Oreochromis niloticus: one gene and its partner. Each later gene encodes a partner of the first gene's protein in a complex. Links are inferred from orthologs where the notes say so. Each region holds a gene or a part of one and is shown on either strand. Other genes may lie near its edges.

Region 1 (7,264 bases):
TAAGGACTACCGTCCTGTCAAACTCACCTCCATCATTATGAAGTGCTTTGAATGGTTAGTCATGCATCAAATCAAATTATTGCTTTCCCCCAACCTGGATCCATTTGAGTTCGCATACCGGTCAAAACGCTCAACCGATGACGGAATTTCAACTGCCCCTTACTCAGCCCTCACACATCTGAACACTAGAGACTCGTATGTCAGAGTGCTGTTCATAGACTTCAGTTCAGCCTTCAGCATCATCATTCCCCAGCAACTCATTCACAAACCGGATCTGCTGGGGATCAGCACCTTGCTGTATAACTGGCTGCCAGATTTCTTGACAGGAAGACAGCAGATAGTACGCTCGACAGCAACACCTCCAGCCCAAGAACACTGAATACGGGGGCTCCCCAAGGATGTGTGTTGAGCCCCCTTCTCTTCACTCTGCTGACCCACGATGAGATCTACTACAGGGGTGAAGTTAACCATCTGGCAGAGTGGTACAGCAACAACAACCTGTCCCTGAATGTGGAGAAGACCAACAGCGACTCTACTTCCTCTGCAAACTGAGAAGCACAAGAGATTCAACCCCCATTATGAGCACCTTCTACAGAGGCACAGTTGAGAGTATCCTCACCAGCTGCATCACTGTGTGGTATGACTCCTGCACTGGGTTCTGCAGGAAAAAATAACAACGGGTAGTGAGACCAGCTGCACCTGCCTCATCTGGAAGGTCCTCTCCATTACAGGTGACTCCACTCATCCCTTCAGCAGCGTCTTCAGTTTACTCACGAAGGATACTGAAGAGCCTCCGGGCCAGAACACACAGGCTGAGAGACAGCTTCGTCCATCGGGCTGTCAGGATGCTGACCATCTCTGAATCGAGAAGGGGGGCCCAAGGGTACATCTTTCGCCATCCTACAATGCTGTGATTGTAGCCATTCCCCACTTTCTGTGAATGGTACTCATGGCCATTGATCAGTAGGCTTTGATTAGTTGTCATTGATCAATGGTCATAAGAATTTGCATACTAACAATCATGGAACTAACCCCCCAGCACATTGTTCATGTTTACCTTTTCATTAATATCTTTAAAACAGAAGCAGCACAAATGACAATTTTAGCAGCACAAACCAGCACAAACGTTTGATACCACTTTTGTTGGATTCCATTAATGTGGGGGGGCTGGTTGTACTTTGATGACCTGTAGAAATTTTTATTAATATCTTTAAAATGATAGCAGCACAAACGAAAATGTTTGCAGCACAAACGTAGCACAAACGTTTGGTACCACTTTTGTTGGATTTGAAGAAGGTGGGGGGGCCAACTTCACTCACATACCTAAACGTAAATGTGAAGTTTAGATTTTACTCCATCTCCTCCTCTCCTAGCCTCCACCTCCAAACCTTCAGTTTCACTCCTGCTGCTCTCCTGTCATACTCGTCTCCACCCGCTCCATCCTGCCTCACCTCTCTGTCGATGACGTCTTCTACAGCTGAGGGGTAAAAACTATAATACCTGTGGTGAGCATGCTCAGAGCTGACTGGCCCGACTGATCGGCCAATCAGGCGTGAGAAGATCTGAGCTGAATTCAGTTGTTTCACAGGTGGAGGTGTGAGTGGACATTAATCAACAGCCGATGGTTGGTGCTCCACCTCAGAGGTGGAATAAACTGCCATTTCCACTCCAAAGACTCACATAATGACAGTCGAGTCAATGATTCTCAGGACCGTCTCAAAGGTCACTACCTCACTAAGTGTCACGTACCTGGGACTCACTCTGAGCTGGATGCAAGGCAGGAGGAGGACGTGGCGATGTTAGCTAAAGGTGGCCTCAGGTGTGACAGCTCAGGTTCTAAGTGCCCGGCATGGTCATGTTACCACTTTCACAGCTTTTGACTCAGGCACGGCGGAGGAGGAGGAGCTGTTCAAAGAGCATGCTCCCTCCATGTTTGCATGTTCCAGCTGTGACCACGCCCCTTTTATACAGTTTATATGTAGTTCAGGACCGCAGCTTTAGCAGGCTCAGCTCCGTGATCACGGTTCCCTCACAGCGCTGCAGTTCACGCCCACGACATCCGGCCTCACACCGTTAAGGAGAAAGAGTGTGAGGTCGTTCCACTTCTCTTCTCTTTTCCTAAGTCCTCAGCAGGAAGTGAGGAAAGGAGACAGGAGATACTTCACAACACACTAACACACCCTGCGAGTGTGATGCAGGGAGGACAGGTGAGGTCCTGGTTTTCACCTTAACCTCCTAAGACCCGAACTCTTCCACGACATGCATTTTTAATTTCTCTTTGATATTTGGGCATATTGGGGCCCAATGAATGTAAAAACAAAGAATTTCCAGATTTTTTTTTTTACCTTATTTTTGTTTTTAAGAAAAATGAGAGCCACAAATGAGGATATTCATTTAAAATTTTGATAGAACAGTAGCAGTATAATGTCCTTGTAAGTGGATATCAGGCCCATGTAGAGCAAAATTGAGTATTTTGGTCAAAATAACCAAAAATGTGATGTCCACATATGTGGACGGCAGGTCCTAGGAGGTTAAGAAGAAACAAACGAACATTTTTGGCCTTTTTGGCCTTTGATTCTTTGACGCGAGTCTGCGTGTGTGTCACACTCCGGCCGGTGGGGGCGGTGCAGCTCCGATGAGCGTAGAAGAAGAAGAAGAAGACCTTAGCCGCCGCTAGCCACTGTTAGCCGGAGCTGAGACAGCGTGATGTCCGCGGTCTCTAAGGTGGTCCTGGGAGTGTCCGTGGTTCTGACCGTGAGCACCGTGGCCGCGGTGCACCTCAAACAGGCCTGGGACAGAGAGGTAAGCCGAGCCGGGCTGACATCTAGCCTCCGTGTGCCGGAGCGGGTCACGGGGGCTAACGAGGCTAACGCTAAAGCACAGGTGGTGGTTAAACGCAATTGAACGGACACAGGTGACGTCACACAGACGTTAAAAGAATAATAATAAATAAACACGATAATGACGATAAACAGCAGCCAAAAACCGCTTCCTCCAACACTTTTCAAAATAAAAGACTCAGATGGCTGGTAAACAATGATAATCATCGTCATTCCTTACATTTATGGCTCAGTTAGCTAATCAGGCGTTATCTGAGTTAACGTTAGCTCAGGTGAGTGCAGAACATGTGACTGACAGAGCTGCAGTGGCGTCAGATGTTTCATTTCGGATTCTGTGACGCTTACAGGTCTGCCTTTATTTTGGAGGTGCGTTTTCTCTCGGGTGACCTCTGTGAGGTCACGAGTCCTGCTGTTAAATAAAACAAAGAAACAGAAAATCACACACCTGGGTTTAAGGTGTTCACATCATGGGAACAAAGCTTCGGGCACCTCACCTGTGACATCTGTTTCAGTAATCAGTGATCAATAATAATCACTTTCTCCAGCGCCTTACAAGAAACACAAGAACGCTTTGCAACACAAGTCAAAAAGGTCAAAGGTGTAAGTTTGTGTGGCAGAGGTGAGTTTTCAGTCCAGCTGTGAAGCTCATATGGGAGAGACTCCACACCAAAGCATCGAGCCCTCATAGGTGTGGATTCTGTTACAAGGGACCGAAAGCAGACCTGACTGTGTACAGGTGCTGAGGGGCGGAGCACTGAGGGATTAATGAGTGAGAAGCAGGATCTGTAAGTGAACCAGTGGAGATGAGCTCACATGTCCTCAGAGCTTGATCAATGATGAGTGGTCACTGTGTTTGTCGTGCAGCGCCTGCGTGAGGGCGTGGTCAGGGATCTGGAACGGCTCGAGCGCAGGAAGGAGAACCTGCGGCTGCTGGAGGAGCAGCGGCTGCTGACCCGACAGCTGGCGGAGGAGAGACGAAACCGGGAGGCCAGGCTTCACCCACAGGACACCTGAAAAAGGTAAATGCTCTCATGCACCTACCCTATTGCATCCCCAAGTCTCCTTACGACCAGGTCAACTGTAATGTTTCTTCTCTTGTGTAGACTGCAGTGGTCACCTGCCCAGGTGTGCCGTACCTGAAGCAGGAGGATGGACAGCAGTGGCGAGCAGCTGGTGGGTGGGGAGGACGAGGCGGCCTGCACGTCAGCGTCGGACGGTCTGGAAGAGGGGGAGGTGGAGGGCGAGACGCTGCTGATTGTTGAGTCGGAGGACCAGGGCTCCGTGGACCTGTCACATGACCAGAGTGGCGACTCCCTGACCAGTGACGTGGGTGAGGACGCCGACGGGGGCTGGGCCTGCGAGGACATGTCCTTCTACTGCGACCGCTGCCACAAGTGGATCCCCGCAGGTGAGCTGGCCAATTGCAGCGCTCCGTTTCTGACGTGACCGACCTTCTCCAGTAGGTGGCACTACCTGCTGCCGAGCAATCTGAAAATGTGACATCAGCAGACCGCATGCCACCGATTGGCTGGTCAGGTGCACCAGTCTGTGAGTCATGAGAGCGAGTCTTTCGGGAAAATTGAAACCTGCGGCCCACGAGTCTGACAAAATGCCACGGACCGAGCAGGAGGAATGCCATCGCCTCCTTTGTTCTCGTTCATGTCACACACAAGTGACGTCACAGGATGCTCGGCCACGTTGCTATAACAACCCAACGCAATCAAGTCTGTGGGTTCCCGGCGACACCACAGTTGTAGCTACGCGGTAGGACAATACGCTGAGAGCGAAATGGCGGGAACAAAAGTGATCCAGACGCTCCCACCGCGTGCCGACCGGTCCGTCTCACGTTGCACTCATTAAAGCTGTCACGTGAATCAACAGTCGTACCCGCTGAACTCTAAAGCGAGATCTGCACCTCTGTGCGCGGCAGCTTCCTCCACATGGCCCCACCTTCAGGTACGAGCTCCTCCTTGAGTGTGCGTGAACGCCCTTTAGCCCGGCTCCAGAACACGGCGTGAGCATGCTCTCAGTTAAGTGTCACATGATGCGATGGATGATCACATGATATGAGCCTTAATGTGACCTCTGACCGTGATGTAAGCAGGTATGAGAGTTAAGGTGAGGTCTGATGTGGTGTGGGTGGAGCCAGACAGGAAGCTGTTAGTCCAGCTCCTCGTCTGCAGCTTCATGAGTTGAGAGCAGGCACTGGTGGTAACCTAGGAGACCCCCAGCAGGTCTGCAGCAGCAGCTGACTCTGTACCTGTGATCGTCTGCAGCTCAGCTCCGCGGCGAGCAGCCGAGCTACCTGAAGGGAGACAACTTCTTCAAATTCGTCTGCTCCGATTGCTCCGAAGATGGCAAGGAGAGCTTCGAGAGGATGAGGCTCACCTGGCAGCAGGTAGGACTTTAGCCCCGCCCACACACACAGACACACACCTCAAATACTCGGCGTGCTGACGGCAGCTTCTTCCTGTGGCAGGTGGTGATGTTGGCCATGTACAACCTGTCTCTGGAGGGGACGGGCCGGCAGGGCTACTTCAGGTGGAAAGAGGACATCTGCGCTTTCATTGGTCGACACTGGAACTTCCTGCTGGGCTCGAGGTCGATCGCAGACAGACAATAAAGTTTTGGTCTTTATCGATAACGTGCCGGCGCTCACATTCGTGTTGCACTCTTCTTTGCAGGAAGAAGACATCAACCTGGTGGAGCACGGTAGCGGGCTGCCTGTCGGTCGGAAGCCCCGCCTTCTTCCGCTCTGGAGCGCAGGAGTTCGGTGAGCCCGGCTGGTGGAAGCTGGTCCACAACCGACCTCCAACCCTCCGACCAGAAGTGGACAAATCCGTGACAAAGACTAAAGGTAAGCCGTGATCGAACGCTGGCGCCCAAGTGGACGGTGTTTGTTGACCTCTGACCTTGGACGCTGTTTACCCACAGCGTCCAAACCCGTGCTGGACCCGATCATCACCGTGGAGGGTCTGCGCAAACGCGGGGCGCGGAACCCCGTGGAGAACGCCATGCAGCTGAAGGAGAAACGCTCACGCACTCAGGAGGCCAAAGATATCCGGCGGGCCCAGAAGGAAGCGGCGGGCGGATACACGGACCGTAGCGCCGCCTCCACGCCCGTCAAGCTGGGTGGAGGCCGTGGTGTGGGTGGTGGGCAGCGCCCAGATCTGGTCCTGGAGAAGGGTGAGGTCATTGACTTCTCTTCGCTCAGCTCCTCAGACAGAACGCCGCTCACCAGCCCGACGCCATCGCCTTCACCTGACTTTTCTGCCCCGGGAACGCCAGCCTCGCATTCGGCGACGCCCAGCCTGCTGTCGGAGGCAGACCTTATCCCTGACGCCATGCCGCCACAGGCATTGTTCCACGGTGAGGTACCACCTGATTGGTGCAGGGTCATGTGGTTTTATGTGATGTAACCGCTGATGGCGCGTTCTGCTTCCTCCAACTCAGATGATGAGGAGATGGAAACAGAGGGGATGATCGACCCGGGAACCGAGTACATCCCGCCTGCCAGTGCCAACCTGGGCACCCGCAAGAAACTCCGCCCGCCACCGCCTCACATCAAGCGTGAAGCAGAGAGCGAGGAAGACGAAGGCCGCGAGCGGGAGGGCGACTTTGAAGAACCCGTAGGACAAAGTGAAGACGCCCCGGTGTCCACAGGCGGCGGTGGCGGAGGACCTGAGCGCAGAAGGACGACTCATCCAGAGAACACTGACAGCGCTGCCGGCAACGCCCAGAGTCCTCGCTATGCCACCCTCAGTCTGTACGAGGAGAGGATGCTGCTGCGACGGCTGGACGCTTGCCCGCTCGCGTTGGCCGTCACGCCGCAGGCTAAACGCCTCCACAGGAAGTTGCTGGTTCGCCAGGCAAAACGACAGAGGAGGCTCCCCCTGCTGGACATCGACCAAGTGGTCAGCGCCACCCTCAGCCTGGTGGGAGGAATCTATGGCGCCCAGGAGGCCGGATCACAGATCGGCGGCGGTGTGAAAGGGAAATACTGTACCAGCAGCCAGGAGCTGCGGATTCTCGATCGCTTCCAGGTAACGCACACACTTCCTGTCCGTCCATGTGACACGCCCACGTGCACCAATCGCTGCAGCTGATGCAGTGTTCACACTGTTCGCTTCACCTGTCCATGTTTTACAGACCGGCGTCTCCGGCAGACGAGGCGTCCAGCAGCCGTCCGTGTCTTTCTGGCATCGTCTGATGGGAGCTGAAGGAAGCCTGGAGCAGACCATCAGGAGCCCCTACACCTCCCGCCTCCTCAAACCGTACATCAGGTAAACCTCCGAGCCCGAGCCACACCTGTGGTCGGAGAGTCCTCGGAGCTTCCTGCGAGGTGGAGGTCCACACCTGCGTTCTCCATTTTCCTTTTCTTTTGTCTAGGCGGGACTACGAGAGCCGTCCGCCGAAGCTCCGGC
Region 2 (7,842 bases), on another chromosome or scaffold:
TTATATATCTGTTTTAAGCTTCAAGCTGTTTCTAAGTTAAATAGTTGCCTAGTTGCTTAGATTTTATTATCCGCTGGATGGCTGAAAAATTTCCAGGAGAAAATAAAAGTCCTTTTTTGTGCCCTGAACACATTTCCAATGGAAATTGTAGTTACACTTGCTACATTTGCCAAATTGTCTATAGAACACTTTGATTCAACTGTAACTTTGCTCATGTTAAATATCTGATTCACACTTGCTTTTATCACTTAAGAAATATTGCCAAGCTGAGTCATATTCTCATTTACTCATGTCTTTATTTGATCACATCTGGATTGTTGTAATTCATTGTTCACGTGTCTTAACAAAACCTCCTTAGAACATCTGCAGGTGGTTCAGATCGCTGCCACGACACTTTTGACTAAGTCTTCCAAGTCACTCGCTTCCCACCTCTCACTGTTGCTAATTTAGTTCCACTAGCTCCTAATTAACTTGAGAGTCCGCTTTAAGATTTTGTTTTTGACTTTTAGAGCCCTGCATTATTGAGCACCAGTGCACATCAGTGAGCCTTTACATGCATACATCCCCTGCAGATCCCTGGGGTCATGTGATCAGGAGCTGTGCAGCACACGAGACAAAAAAATAAAAAATAAGGAGACAGAGTTTTCATGACAGTGCTTTCAAGCTCCCTTTGAGCTCGAGATCTGCTGACTACATGTTTTTATGTTTTATTATTTTCATTGTGAAGCATTTTGTGATATTTATCTTGAAAGGTGCTATACAAATAAAAACTTTGAATTTACTAATTTACTATTTTTGTTGCCAGTTAAGTAATGGTAATTGACTTACATCCTAAACTATGTTGCTAATCATAAACTTAAACCCGATAAACATGGTACTATTGTCAATAATTGATACTGTATCACCAGCCCGAACGTGTTGGTATCACACAACTCAAGGTCCTGGGGTGAGTGGGAATAGAGGCAGGGAACATCCTCGGCAGGTCACCACTCCATCACAGGGTTCAGCAGAGAGACAGACAACCACACGCTCTTACATCCACACCAATTAACAAGTACAGCTTTGGATGGTGGGAGGACTCCTAAGCACCTAAAAGCACAGTCTAATGACTAGTTGTCTAGTGTAAAAAATAAAAAAATGTATTTGTGTTAAAAAAAAAGTGTTTCTATCAACTGAATAGTTTTATTCTCCAAAATATAATAGCTTTATTTCTTTGTATAAGCCATCACATATAAAAGTCCATCTAATTATATATGTATAAATGCTTGTATATAGATATAGATTTACAACAGTTTATGAACTAGTAGGAGCCCAAATAAACCTTTTTCTGGGACAACAGCCTTAGTATAGGGAGACAAGCGAGGATGTGTGGCAGTGTAACAAGGAGAAACAACAGCAAATAGAAAGAGAACTGCAGTTGATGGGTCTGCCAAACAAAGCAGTTCTTCCACTGTTACACTTCATAGGGAGGATTAGGAGTTCAGTGGGAATCTGTGGCCAAGTGGACAAAAGTGACAGCCCAGTGATTTCCACTATATGAGTGGATATAGAAGACAACAGTACATAAACATTTTACCCTTACAGTTCATGCACATGTAAATACTGCTTATTTTTGCATGCATCATTCCAAAAGTGTTGTAAGAAATGTGCCAAAGCAGTTCAGAAAAAATCTGTAAAAAACAACTGAAATAACTCTCAAATCCAGCACCATGACTACAGTCTTTTTAATGAACATTTTTCTGCAAAATTTACATTTGTTTCCACATATATCTTTTTATTACTTAAAAGCAGTACGTAATGAGCTGATCTGTGGGAAGCTTGGTCCCAAACTCACAAGAAAGGAATACTTTTAATTATTCCTCTCTGGGGGAAATGAGACAAAACCTTCTTACTGCAATCCACTTCGCTCTTTACATTGTGCTGCCTCTTTCTCCTGATCCTCATGTCTGGCCTTTACTCCGTCTCATGCTCTGTCAACATAATCTGCCACCGTGCAGCAGACAGGCTCAAAAGCGGACCTTTTTACTTTCCTGCAGGTGGCTGATGTGACTGAGGCAAGAGGCAGCAACAATCCCTCTTCACTCACTTCCCTCTAACACTAGGACCACCTTATTTCCTGTATAGCACAAATTCCCTCTGCCTGCCAAGAACACATTCTTGTAAAGCAAAGAAAAAAAAATCTTATTAAGTTGCACAAAGAACCATTAAGGTATCCTTGTAACACTTTTCAGCAATTCTCTATAATGGCTTCAGCATTTACAAGCAGTGCATAAATACTTAATAAATGGTTATAAATTGTCATTTTATGTTAGGAATCTACAATTAATATGATTTAATAACAGCAAGAAAAACCAGAGGTCAAATCATTCTCTGGAAACAAGTTAGCGCATTTAAATCAGTTTGCCGTACCTTACTTTCAGCCAATTAGATAAATAAAGTACCACTTATGTTGATGCATCAGTAATAATGACCCTGCCAACAATGACTAAGGCCGTTGTGCATGAACTTTTACTTGTAAAGGAATATTTTTAGGCTGTAGCACTTGTAAATATTTCTTCAGCCACTGGTTTTTTAATCCTCTAAAACTGTTTTTAAGATGTAGGAACATATTAGAGGAAAAGGTGACATTTAAAGATTGTGAATATCTGTAATACTTAGTTTTGGTTTCGAAATGTAAATATAGCTAAATGTAAAAACATTGCGCTCAAGTAGGTTATCATGTTTTTTTAATGGCTCATATAAATGCCTTAAATCACAACTCTTCCCCCGTTAGAAGAATAAACAGCTCTTTGGTCTGAAGCCAGCCAAATTAAATGAGCAGTTTTTTAATTTCTGAGCGCCTTGCTGTGTGGGAACATTCAGCAATAGCTCAGCATGTCAAACCATGTCAAGTGTTACAGTTCCTTCCTGTTTTGGGGGGAAAAATATCACCCCAGAGATGAATTAAAGTAAAAAGGCTTGTCTTCAGACCCCTTCCTAAAATGATTAACCCTCCTAAAGAGCATTATTGAGTTCTGAGTGGTTGTGCCTTCTCTTTGCCTGTAATTGTTCTTTTTCTGTTGTTTCCTTCATCAGTCTCTCTCCTCATTATATGAAAAGAAGGGAAAAATGTCTGAATAGAGGAGGGAGATTTTCCCACAGTCACTCAACACAGAAAAATACGCCATTGTAACCAGGTTCCCATCCCAATGCCCTGCTGCACAGTCCACTGCGGTCAGAGGGACAATATCTTTATAATTGAGTGACCATTCTTTCGCCTGTTTGAAAAGTAAGTGACTGAGAATACAGTTAACGGCACATTTGAGTGAGTTCAGTTTCCAGGGAGCCATGCCTAATACATACATACATATATATATATATATATAAAATTTTATATAGTACAATGTTTTAAACTAAAAGTAATAAAATTGTGGATCATATAAATATACAAGCATTGACATTCTAAACATAAAGTAAAAATTAAATTAGAACAATATTCAGCAGTTATGCTGCTAAACAGATAAACATGCCATAAGACGACAGAGAATAAAATGACTTTAAACATGCTTTAAAAGGCATTAAAAGAGAAAGTTCAGAGACTGGACATCTTTGGGCATTTAATAATATGTTCCAGACGTGGCACTACTTACAGGCTTGTTTTCAGGTAGAGAATACAAGTCATAAAATTATTTTGTTAATATTAAAATAATATTTCATTGTTCGTAGAACTGTCTACCAGTGTATGACGTTAAAACATTAGCTTAATAACTTGACTAGAGGCAATAATAAAATGTTGCTTGACTGCTAATAGATTACTGTATAAAACCACAGGGTCACTAATGCATGAAGAGGGCTATTATAGTTGATGATAGTCATTAATAAGCATATTTGGTTTGGATTTTATGGGAACAGATTGAAGAGAAGTAGAAATAGTTGGGTAAAAGATGAAATGTGCATGATATGTTTGGAAATAAAGCTGTAAAACAGGTTTTTCAAAGTTTTATATAATCAGTTTTTCTATATATAGATGCTCTTAACCACCCTGTGTCGAAGAACAGTTGAAAGATTTTTAAATTTCACATTTTATAACTTTATTTGTTTTTTGTGCTTCTCTATTTGGGTTCTTTTTCGATTTGCTAACATGGAGTCTGATCATATCAAGTATCAAGTATCTAATATCTATATCTACAGAAAACTTATATATACTTATATATATCTATATATATATATATATATATCTATATATATATATATCTATATATCTATATATATATATATATATATATATATATATATATATATATATATATATATATATGAGCTTTCTGTTCCCCTGACGTCCTGTTATATTTTTAGAATGTATTTGTAATTGCAGTTTTTAAAAAGTTGATCCTTGACTTTAAAAATTATGTAAACAATTTTCCTTTCAATCTGTTAAAAGACTGAAAAAGAGAAATGCCTTAAAGCTTTCAGAAATACTTGCACAATACAACCCAGTAAAATTAGTGAATTTAATTTAAGCATTTATCATTACTAGTAATTTTCGCAGTAATATTAATATTCTCACAACTACGGTTGTGTGCGTGTACGCATGCGTGTATGGAGCCTCGACTTCGTTAAGCGCGCACACGCAGGAACCTGCACTCGAACCAATCAGCGCACAGTATTCTTCGGCTTGTCGAACAGCAATGGCGGAGGCAATGAAGCTAAGTAGAAATCATGCTCCTCCCAGTGACTCCAGTAAAATGTCCAGCTATACAGACTGTATGGATTCGTTACTGCAACTGCTAGCAGACTTCGGGGAAGAGGTTTGTTTGGATTGTTTAAGCTGCCTTGTTTCGGACATCGCTCCTTTCAGTCCGGGGTGTTGGCTGGCTGCATGCTAATGTTTTTAGCAATGTGGTGTTAGCAGGGCTGCTTAGCGGACCCACACTGTTCATTCATTGTCACTCACACAGCGCTCTGGTGCTGTTTTTGACAAGCAGGTTGTTGCAAAGTAACTGTGCTTTAAATGGTTCAGTGTTGTTTTGAAAGTAATTTAAGATATAAGATCGAGCTTGTGTCTTGACTGGGCTTAACTAGGCATTCTGTTTCATCAGTAACAGCAAAGTTTCATGTCATTATCCCTGTTGCCGTGCTTTTTTTTTGCATCTCGTATTGGATTGAATACACATCTAAATAAACCTCTTTATCCCATACATGCAGTAAATGATCTCAAGCCCTGTTTTTGTGTGGTAAAGCACAAATAAAATATGCAGTGGATAAAATAAAAGCATCGCCTTTCACTCGCTTTATGAATCTAACTTCATTATTTTCCTAAGTCTGGGGTAACCTTATTTTTAATTATGTATTTATTGACCACCACTGCAAAGCCAATATATATATTTTACAGTGACAAAAAACAGCTGAAAACAAGGGGAAAATAATCCTTTATTCTACATTAAATTGAAGCTGATACCACCAAATGCTTTTTCTTGAACAGTAACAAATCAGTTGCCCAGTTAATTATCAAAAATAATTTATGTATTTTCACATCAATCAATTGTAACTTGCATATATTAGACAAATGTATATATTGTCCTGCTAGCATGCAATTGTATGTTAAATGCTGATTCACAGTAACATCCACACTTTGTCTGTCCTGAAATTAAGCTGAAATTTGGGGATGCTGCTTTGAAAATAGATGTCAACCCCAGCGCTGTGAATCTTCAATCATCTCCACCTGCTCATGTTTACAGCTCATTACAAGGACATATCGCTAAATTACAGGTAAAAACATTAGAGGAATTTTAAGAGCTGACATAGATTATTATGCAGCTTTTTATTGTGTTATCATTGCAAGGGAAAAAAAGTAGATTAGAATTAACAATTTAAAATTTTGAATTTTCGATTATTCTTGGGAGCTTTAAATAATTACATCTAATTCTTCTTTCTGACGTGCTCTTTATTTAGGCTGTTTCAGAAAGCCTAAAGGTGTTGTTGGATGCTGAGGCTGATGCATCCTCTTTCAAGAACACATCAGAAGATGCTGTCACCTCATCTTCAAGCAGCGCACAGACAGCCACGCAGTCTGAGCACCATCCGCACAGCTCCGGGGCTACAGAGAGCAAGGCGGCGGCTGATGACGTCATGGTTCAGATCCGAGCTGGGAAGTCAGAGGTTGGTCGCTGTCAGCAGATCTGTCAGCTGTTCTGGCAGTGAAATTTTAGAGCCCTCTTTACACTCTGTCAAGCAAATGAATAATCATAAGTAATTGCTCCAGAGGATGTGCACATGACGTGCCGCAGCAAAGCAAATGCTTGATGGAGACCTGATAAGCTGAGTTCGGTTGAGAATAAGGGGTCCTTTAGTGCTGCGGTGGGGTAGAACAGACCACATTGCTGGAGGGTTTTGAGAGAGGGCCAGGTCCTTGATGGATTATGAAGTGGATGCTCATTACTCTGAGATTGCATGTGGATGAAGGACAAGAGGCCCCATTCTGTTGTGCATTTATTTTGGTAGCCAAGCAAACAGTATTCATATTCCATCATGTGATGATGGCAAGCAGTTCAACTTTTTTGGCTACCTGGAATTTTCTGAAATGTAAATTGCCGCACCCTATTTGTCCCACATCATTATCATTAAATAGTCAAAAACATAGCATTCTTGCCACCTCATCAATCCATTGTATCTTATTATGTTGTCTTCATTGTAACCCTAGATTGAGCGAAGAATATCTGCATTTATGGAACGCAAGCAGATGGAGATCAATGAAAACAATGTACGCGAGTTTTGCAACGTGATCGACTGCAATCAGGGTGAGAATGGGAGAGAGGTGGGGGGGCAGGGTGGAGAGGGTGCCTGCACACAGATTGCCAATGTTTGGGAGAGAGCTGATTTCCACAGGCGAGAGGTCAGGCTGAACTGCTCCAAGAGTGGGGCTGAAGTAGCTAACACACTCGGCCTCAAAACACAACCCGCTTAGTCCAGAAAAACACGAGACAGAAGAACCTTTTTTAAATTCAAAGCCTGTGTGAGACACCAGTAACAGAAATCAGGAGTAGTTGTTATTCAGGTGTGATATACATATACAGCTTTTGGTAATCATGTTTAATTGCATTTGGTAATTCTAATTGCAATTTATATTAAATGTGATCGTCTGTAGAAAACAGCTGTGCCAGAACAGATGCAGTATTCACTCCTTACCCGGGTTTTAAAAGCCACGTAAAAGGTAAGAAAATGTCACAATTCTTAACAGCTTAATTTTTAAACTATCATTTGTGTAATTAAACTAAAACATGTTGTTAACTAGAATCTGTTTAGGACTGAGTTGTATCTTCTGTGTTTGTTTCTTGGCTGGGCAGTCACACGAGTAGTAAACACTTACGGACCCCAGACCCGTAGTGGGGGAGACCAAGCAGAGGCTGGGGATAAACAGAGGGGGCCGCTGATGAGAGATTGTGGAAATGTAGCCATAGAGGAACGACTCAACAACATCGAGGCTCACCTCAAACTTCCAGCAGGTGAGAGACAGGAAGTTATTGTAAGGCTCAAATTATTTTTGTCTTGTATATAACATTATACATTATATTTAACTGAGAAATTAAATGATACCTTTTATTGGCACTGAATTTTTTACTTATAGTAAGCCTTTATTTATACAGTGATCTATTATTTGGTTTATCTGCTGTTATCAGTCATTCTTTGTTTGCTCCCACAAGTCTTGTGCAATAATAAATTTTCAAACTGTTCAACAAGTGTTTTACTCCTCAGTGGGTCCAGTTCCATTGAGTGTCTACCAGCGACTCAAGAAGTTGGAGGATCGTATACTCGAGTTGGAGGGACTCTCGCCTGAGTACTTTCAATCCACAGTGAGTCCTCTGG

What was found.
Region 2: kat14 (region 1) and mbip share a complex: the UniProt entries of both Homo sapiens proteins name them as parts of the ADA2A-containing complex. The link is inferred for Oreochromis niloticus from reciprocal best matches to the Homo sapiens genes KAT14 and MBIP.

What each region holds. Positions count from the first base shown.
Region 1 is NC_031971.2:41,839,012-41,846,275, forward strand, and holds the start of kat14 (cysteine-rich protein 2-binding protein), read left to right. Parts: upstream 1-3,955; 5' UTR 3,956-3,989; coding exon 3,990-4,248; intron 4,249-5,116; coding exon 5,117-5,238; intron 5,239-5,319; coding exon 5,320-5,441; intron 5,442-5,524; coding exon 5,525-5,697; intron 5,698-5,774; coding exon 5,775-6,209; intron 6,210-6,293; coding exon 6,294-6,883; intron 6,884-6,989; coding exon 6,990-7,123; intron 7,124-7,229; coding exon 7,230-7,264. Other genes in the region: protein PET117 homolog, mitochondrial, read left to right, coding at 2,707-2,802, 3,705-3,854. UniProt on the Homo sapiens protein: Component of the ATAC complex, a complex with histone acetyltransferase activity on histones H3 and H4. May function as a scaffold for the ATAC complex to promote ATAC complex stability. Has also weak histone acetyltransferase activity toward histone H4.
Region 2 is NC_031983.2:18,731,459-18,739,300, reverse strand, and holds the start of mbip (MAP3K12-binding inhibitory protein 1), read left to right. Parts: upstream 1-4,614; 5' UTR 4,615-4,667; coding exon 4,668-4,787; intron 4,788-5,631; coding exon 5,632-5,748; intron 5,749-5,931; coding exon 5,932-6,138; intron 6,139-6,679; coding exon 6,680-6,776; intron 6,777-7,123; coding exon 7,124-7,189; intron 7,190-7,322; coding exon 7,323-7,481; intron 7,482-7,731; coding exon 7,732-7,829; intron 7,830-7,842. UniProt on the Homo sapiens protein: Inhibits the MAP3K12 activity to induce the activation of the JNK/SAPK pathway. Component of the ATAC complex, a complex with histone acetyltransferase activity on histones H3 and H4.